2 linked regions of the Macaca mulatta genome follow. The protein of the gene in region 1 interacts with the protein of each later gene in a pairwise test. Links are inferred from orthologs where the notes say so. Each region holds a gene or a part of one and is shown on either strand. Other genes may lie near its edges.

The links.
Region 2: the proteins of TASOR2 (region 1) and ERH interact in binary tests that used the Homo sapiens proteins (3 or more experiments, as listed by UniProt). The two-hybrid records come from large-scale screens. The link is inferred for Macaca mulatta from reciprocal best matches to the Homo sapiens genes TASOR2 and ERH.

The regions. Positions count from the first base shown.
Region 1 is NC_133414.1:7,299,689-7,303,514, reverse strand, and holds part of TASOR2 (protein TASOR 2), read right to left. Parts: coding exon 3,090-3,826; intron 1,490-3,089; coding exon 1,060-1,489; intron 1-1,059.
Region 2 is NC_133412.1:142,569,503-142,573,328, reverse strand, and holds part of ERH (enhancer of rudimentary homolog), read left to right. Parts: intron 1-1,229; coding exon 1,230-1,350; intron 1,351-3,826. UniProt on the Homo sapiens protein: May have a role in the cell cycle.

The sequences.
Region 1 (3,826 bases):
TTTAGGGAAAAAAAGCACATACATAGTTAACGTTTAGGTTTTCTAGACTGGAATCTTGGCTTGACAATTTTCTATGTGACCTTAGGCAATTTCTTTACTTCTCTGTGCTTTAGTTTTGTCATCTGTGTAATGGGGAGATTAATAGTCTTTAACTTATTTGAGAATGAACTGAGTTCATGTGAGTGAAGGGCTGAGAACACTCACTATCCGGCACACAGTGACTCAGAAATCTTTAATTCTCATGATGATGACAATCACTTGAAGATATTCACCGGTTCTGTGAGGCTCACCCAAGGACCTCCAAGTCCCCAGTGACCCCGGGTACAGGAACACTGTCTACTCTTTGTTAAGACAGGAATCACAGATGCTGCCCTAACCCAAGCAATATTATTCTAGAATAAATTTGGGTTGAAAGCTTTAAAAGGTAGGTAATTTTATCAATTCATTTGCTTAGAATTTTGTTAACAACTTTGAGATTTGCTCCAGGTAAAATCTGGATTATCTGGCCTGGTTGAATGTCAGTTGAGAACAATGGAACAAAACGAAGTATATTTTCCATATTTACAAATAGTTATTTGCAATGGGTCTTCTCTCACAGGTCTGGCATTTTACTATTCCAGCATCTGTCTTCAAACATAATTTTAATACAAGTAATTTTAGTTTACTTTACGGTTTATCAAAGTATGTCTAATATTTATTATTGCTATATTTGATCCTTAAACAATATTCTACATAAGACATGACAGGCATTAGTCACCTCTTTTAAAAATTAAGGAAATAAGCAATTTGCCTCAAATTATGGTGGGCTCCCAGGTCATGTGAACCCTATGACACTTTTCTACTCTGTTTTTTTTCAATCAGGATGGCAGGTAAGCTCTACCTGCAGACAATTCGAGGACACTTCATGAAAACTAAGTTTTTGGTGTAATAGTTCTTTACATACCTTGAGAATTCACTGTCCTAAAATTTAAAAATGCCTTGTTTTGAATGTGATTTTACATATAAACTTTTTTTCTTCCAAAATAATGCCAACATTTAACAGTATTCAGCTTAACGTACCTCATTATTATAAGAACAGACGAAATCCTGGTTTTCTAGGGTGTCTGGATGACGCTTTCTTGCAAAAGTTTTTTTCTGTTCATTCTGTACACAGAGTTCCAAGCCTTGGGTAAGTGGTGTTTTAATGAAAGGAAGCAAGCAGTTAGGATCACGGAAGGACACTTCAGCAGCATGAGCCCTGGAAATTTCGTTAGTCTCCAAGAGAGGGTCTGCAGAACATCTTTCCAAACCAAGGCACTCCTCAATTTCACTGAGCTCACAAGATTCTAACGTGCTATTTATAGACACATATTTTGCTGGGTTGCTGTGTTCTACAACTTTTCGGGAAGATCGTATGACTTTGTTCTGATTGCTGTAAAACAGAGCTACCCACATATGAAGTAAAAGCTTCACTTCTTCCACATTATCAGGCAAATCAGTATTCCAGGGCCTAAGAGTTTACAGAAAGAACACATGAAAATCATTGAAAATGGTTATTTTAGTTGATTACCTACCTTATCATAAGCAAGTGCCTCCAACATTAACCTTAGTTTTTGTTATTTTTAAAATTTACAGATATGAAACATGAATGAGTAAATATGTAGTTGACTTAACAAATAATTATCAATCTAACCCACTCATTTTACAGAGACAGGAACTGAGAATCAGAACATGTAATTGCCTTCCTTCAAATCACAAAACCTGTATGGCAGAACCATGATCTGAACATGGGTAGCACGTGTCTTTTACGTCATACAAATTCACTCTGGACACAAAATACTTATTGTAGAAATAGTTTCACCAATACCCAAATCCTCATCACCATGCGTTTGCTAAGTCTGGCTGATTCATTTATTTTCCATTTTTGTGTCTCTCTTCTAATAGTTGAGAAAGTCTGAAGATAAAATCTCTCTCTGGGCAATTCAACAGAACTATACTATTTTCAGATTATAGTTCTGAAAAATATCCTGAAACTGTAAAGGGAGACAGAAAACATTTCTGGCCCTCTGGCAGGCAAAAGGATGGCAGATCGCCAGAGTATGATAAGTTAGGGGGGCTGCAGAGTTGGGAAACAGCTAAACAGGAAGTTCTAAGGAAATGACCTTTATGAGTATATATGAACATGTGTACGGAAGAAAGCCTGACAGCTGTAGAGTCCATATAGTCAGATGTAAAATAGTTCATTAATAGGGAGCTGAATGTCATTTCATGTAGCTAACGAGTGCTTCTTGCTAACAGTAATGGTTACCATTTATTATTACTACTGGCCAGTCACTGTGCAAAAATCCCAATATATGTAACCTCAGGATGCAGCTACATACTTAAGTGTTGGCGACAGACTGTCATCCACCATTGATGTCACCTGAAAATCTGTTAGAAATGCAGAATGTCAGGTCCGTCCCCGAGGAGAATGCATCAGAATCTGCACTTCAGTGAAATCTCTAGATGAGCAGCACACGCAATTAAGCAGCACTGTCCAGAAGCAAGACACTTGCCCAGGATCACAGGAGGTAAGAAAGGGAAAGAACCCGGGTTCAAACCTACACTCCAAAGATGTGGTGCTGGTCAACACTCTGTTATTATTGCCTTGATTCCTTCTTGAGGGAGATCTATAGAACAATCTTATGTGAAACTGCTTAGTCCTATCAGTCTGACCAATTTACCAAGCTACAAGTGATTTTTAAAATGTTTCCTCTGGAATTCAGTCTGTAAAGCATTATTTCTAAATCTCACACTATTTTACATTAAGATCTCATGTAAAAATTGAAATTCAAAAGCCACAAGGGCTTACGAAGGAGCACTGCAAATTGGAAAGCTATTCATCAGGCTAAAATTATCTTTAAAAAGTTCTCCACATGAGCACAGGGGGAAAACCAGCCTGTTACTCTTTATTGCCAGGAAACATGTTTGCTTGATGTTATTATCAAATTTCTGGTTTTACACACACTTCTTTCTCCTTCTCCAGAGTTTGGCACAAGTTTCCCCATCTCACTACATTCATCTCAACAGAAAAATTTCATCCATTTTCACCAAGCTTCACTCATACTCACCCATGTAATGCTCTTACTACAGTTTTCTCCAGTGGGTTGTTGGTATATTTGCTATCTAAGCTGAATGCATATTCTGTTTCACATTTGAAAGTGATCTTAACGGAGTCATCACAGCTAAACACTATACGAGAGCAAGAAGATTTTTTCACACGGGAAGACGCTTGTCGATCCTTGGGCTTCACCATGGGCTCGTCAGGAGGCTTTTGCTGAAGCAAAAGACCAGGCTGATGCCGAAATGGCATGACTTTCCCCACTGGGGTTACTGCTTCAGGGCTTTTTGTCCCATTCTTGGGAAACACAGGGCTTGGTATCTCTCTCTCCTGTAGATTTTTCTTTGAATGTTCTCTAAGGAGCAGGGCATAAGAATGTTCCACAGAAACAGAAGAGCTTTGACTTGCATCTGAAGATTCTAGCATTTCCTCAGTAAGTGCTGACTGGGCTTTAGCAGGGGCCTGACTACACGGAACCAAGCTTTCTTCATCTTGGCTAACAATTAAGTCTGACTCAGAATTACTCTTCCTATCAGAAGATGGGTTAGGAAGTAATTCACCTTTTTGACTTTTAACTCCTCTGTGATATTCATGGTCAGATGTACCTCGCAAAGAATTTTCTTTAGAGAGCAAAACATCATTTTGTGGCAATTCAGAGGAACAGTGAAGATTTCTAGGCTCAGGTACCGGTGTGGAAGAAGTAGCAGAGCTTAATGCTAGATCGGCCAACATATTTAGGGCCTGGGA
Region 2 (3,826 bases), on another chromosome or scaffold:
GCCAGGCACGATGGCTCACGCCTGTAATCCCAGCCCCTTGGGAGGCTGAGGCGGGCTGATCACCTGAGGTCAGGAGTTCAAGACCAGCCTGGCCAACATGGTGAAACTGCATCTCTACTAAAAATACAAAAAATTAGCTGGGTGTGGTGGCAGGTGCCTGTAATCCCAGCTACTTGAGGGACTGAGGCAGGAGAATCGCTTGAACCCAGGAGGCAGAGGTTGCAGTGAGCCAAGATCGCATCATTGCACTCCAGCCTGGGCAACAAGAGCAAAACTCTTGTCTCAAAAAAAAAAAGAAAAGAAAGGAGAGTATCATTGATTAAAAACTAAATAGATAATGTATTCGGTAGCTAATTATAATTAGTGATGTGGGCTTGCTATTAATGATTTTGCTTATTATCTTTTTTATTATATTTCAGTACTTACATCCTTGTTCATGTGCTAATGCTTTATATGTATTATTTCAAATAAACTCACAATTCTATGAAGAGGCACTCTTAACTCTGTTTGACAGATGTGGTTCAGGGAATGGAGTTGTTTGTCCTCGGTTTGACAAGGGCAGAGCTGGAACTCAAGTCTGTGTGAATCCATAGTCCAGGATCTTAAATACACGTTAGGATAATCTCTTTCCTTGTTGCCAATTTTTAATTTTTAATTTTTTTTTTTTGGATTTTTTATTTTTTTGCTCTGTGGCTTTAGGAAGAATTACTGAAAAACCTGTTAAGACCCACAGTGATATTTGTTTGAGCCATCAGATGGCAAGTCTTGAAAGTCCCTTAGCTCCAATGGTTTGAAGTAATCATTTTATTATTAAGACACAAAATAGTTACACCAACATTGTGGTGAATTTCTCGGCTGCCCAGACTGGAGTGCAGTGATGCAATCATGGCTCACTGCAGCCAAGTGATTCTCCCACCTCAGTTTCCCAAGTAGCTGGGACCACAGGCACATGCCATCAGGCCTGGCTAATTTTTTAATTTTTGTAGAGATGAGGTCTCCCTGTGTTGCCCAGGCAGGCTGGTCTTAAACTGCGAGGCCGCTGCACCTGACCTGGTGAATTTATAAAATAAAAAAGTATTTGCTAGTGGCAATAATCAAAAGCCATCAATCGATCATCTTTTCCCCAGCCCAACTTTATTAAAGTAAATATGATATCAACATATATCACTGCTCATATCTAGAAGTGTATACGATTTTAAGATTTTGCTTTTTTTCCTATCCTTTCTTAGGTGTTTGTAAAATGTATGAAGAACATCTGAAAAGAATGAATCCCAACAGTCCCTCTATCACATATGACATTAGTCAGTTGTTTGATTTCATCGATGATCTGGCAGACCTCAGCTGCCTGGTGTAAGTATTGGCCAACATGTCTGTTATCTTGTATTTTCTATTGTTTTTCTGTCTCTTTGAGGTGATTTATGATATTGGGAGCTAACTATGTGCCTGACACTGATCTTTGCATTTGCATAGGGTATAGTAATTAATATTTCTCTTACAGAAATAAGAGATTGGCAACATAAAGCCAAAGGCACAGAAAAAAAGAACTTTGCTAATTGATATAGTTAGTATCCAGTAAGGATCCTAATTAAGACGTTCCATGTCCCTGTTCTTTGTTCCTTATACCTAATATTTTTTTTCCTTTACAGTCTTTGTCCTAAAGCCATTGGTTTGGGATTAAAACTAAGATTATCTTTTTTTCATGACATTTCAAAAACTTAAATATGTGTAGGGCTGAAATTGAATTTAATTTCAATCTTACCCTGTGTAAATATATATTTTTTGGTATGTAATAATGAGATTTTTTAACATATTTGTTATAGTTTGTATTGATAATCTGCTTCTGACAACTGCTAACAAGTAGCATAAAGTATTACTATAGACTTACCTAATCTTTTTTACATTAATGAACAGAAATTGAGGGTAAATACAGCTCATTTAACTAGCACCTTATGATACAATACTCAATCATCAGATACTTGAATACTTATTACATGCCAAGTGCTGTGCTAGAAGTTGAAAGAGCAGTGATGAGAAATATACAAGTCTTACTCATAGGCACTTCCTGGATCACCACTGGAGCCAGTCCTGGAATGTGGCTGCACCATGCTGTCTCCCCAAAAGCTCCAAAACATGCATTTCCTTGGAATGTTTGAGTTTTGTTTTGTGTACTTCTTCATTGTGTTCCAGTTGTAGCCATTTCACTTTGGTCACTCAGAACATTCAAATGAATGTTGCATGGTACTTTAAGCCATCCAGACATCCATAGGAAAAACATACCAGACAGAGGGGATGGTGGACAGCTTGTGTAGAAGTCCTGAAGTACGGGTGCCTGGCATGTTTGAAGTCATTAAGGAAGACTTTGAGGCTGCAGAGGAATGAGTGAAGGAGAGAGTCTTAGGAGATTGGAAGGTAGGGAGCAATGATATCCTGGAAGCCAGTGCAGAAGTGTATCGTATCATCGATAGGTCAGATAAGTAAGGACTGAGAATTTAATTGACCTCTGGATTTCACACTGTGGAAGTATTTGATGGCTTCCAAAACAGTTGTGGTATAGTGCCAGGAGTAAAAATGCTTACAGATTTCAGTGTATGGAAGGGAATGAAAAGAGAGGATTTATAGGTGGCTATTACAGGCTTGCTTTTTTTTTTTTCCCCCAAAGAATTTTGCTTGAAAGAACAGAAAAATGGGGTTGTAGCTGGAGAAGGAAATTGCTTTTTTTAAGGTGGAGAAAGTAATGGTAAGTTTGTAGGCTGATGGGATGATCTACTAGAGAAGGAGAACCCGATAGCTCAGATTGGTTCTTGGACAGTTCATTCATGAAAAAGGGAGGACAGGCAAATTTGGGAGCTGGGGGGAATTATCTTCTGTATGCTTCAGTTATCTCGGAAAGATAGGGAGCAAGGACACCATTTGAAACAGGTGTTACAGGTTTGTGGAAAAGTAAGAAATAAGCTAGGAAGGTGAAAGAAGTAGGGAACTGCAGTTAATTCAGGGATGTATTAAGTGTCCTCCAATGTACCTATCTGATAATGATTTAAAGTGAAATCAGTCATTGTGATCATGGGATTTTATCCTAGTCTCTTTCACCTGGATGGTTACAGGTGAGGAGTAGGTAGAGAGTAAAGATGTTGCTAAAGGTTGAGGGCATATATGAGGATAACAGCAAGGATTGAATGACCATGAGCTTTAATTGGGTATGTAGGAGGAGGTGCTGGAAACAGGTAGATAAGTTAATTGTAGGTCCCACTGGATCAAGGATTGCTCACATTAGAGTGTTAGGAAGTGGTGGTCAGAGAATGACATGCTTGAAATTAGGAAATTGAAGTTGTTAGTAATGACAGGGTCTAGGGATCTGGCCAACAGATGGTAGGAGATGAGATCATTAGAGGAAAAGAGTTCATGGAATTGGGAGGCCTAGGTGTTGACAGAATCATCCACTGGATATGAAATTACCAATAATGTGTATATTAATTTATAGAATTTAAGAACAAGTTGCTTTGTTTGTGTTCACTGCTGCATCTCTGGTACATAATTAGGGCTGAGTAAATATTGATTATATAAATGCACGTCGCCGGGTGCGGTGGCTCAAGCCTGTAATCCCAGCACTTTGGGAGGCCGAGACGGGTGGATCACGAGGTCAGGAGATCGAGACCATCCTGGTGAACACAGTGAAACCCCGTCTCTACTAAAACTACAAAAAACTAGCCGGGCGAGGTGGCGGGCGCCTGTAGTCCCAGCTACTCGGGAGGCTGAGGCAGGAGAATGGAGTGAACCCGGGAGGCGGAGCTTGCAGTGAGCTGAGATCCGGCCACTGCACTCCAGCCTG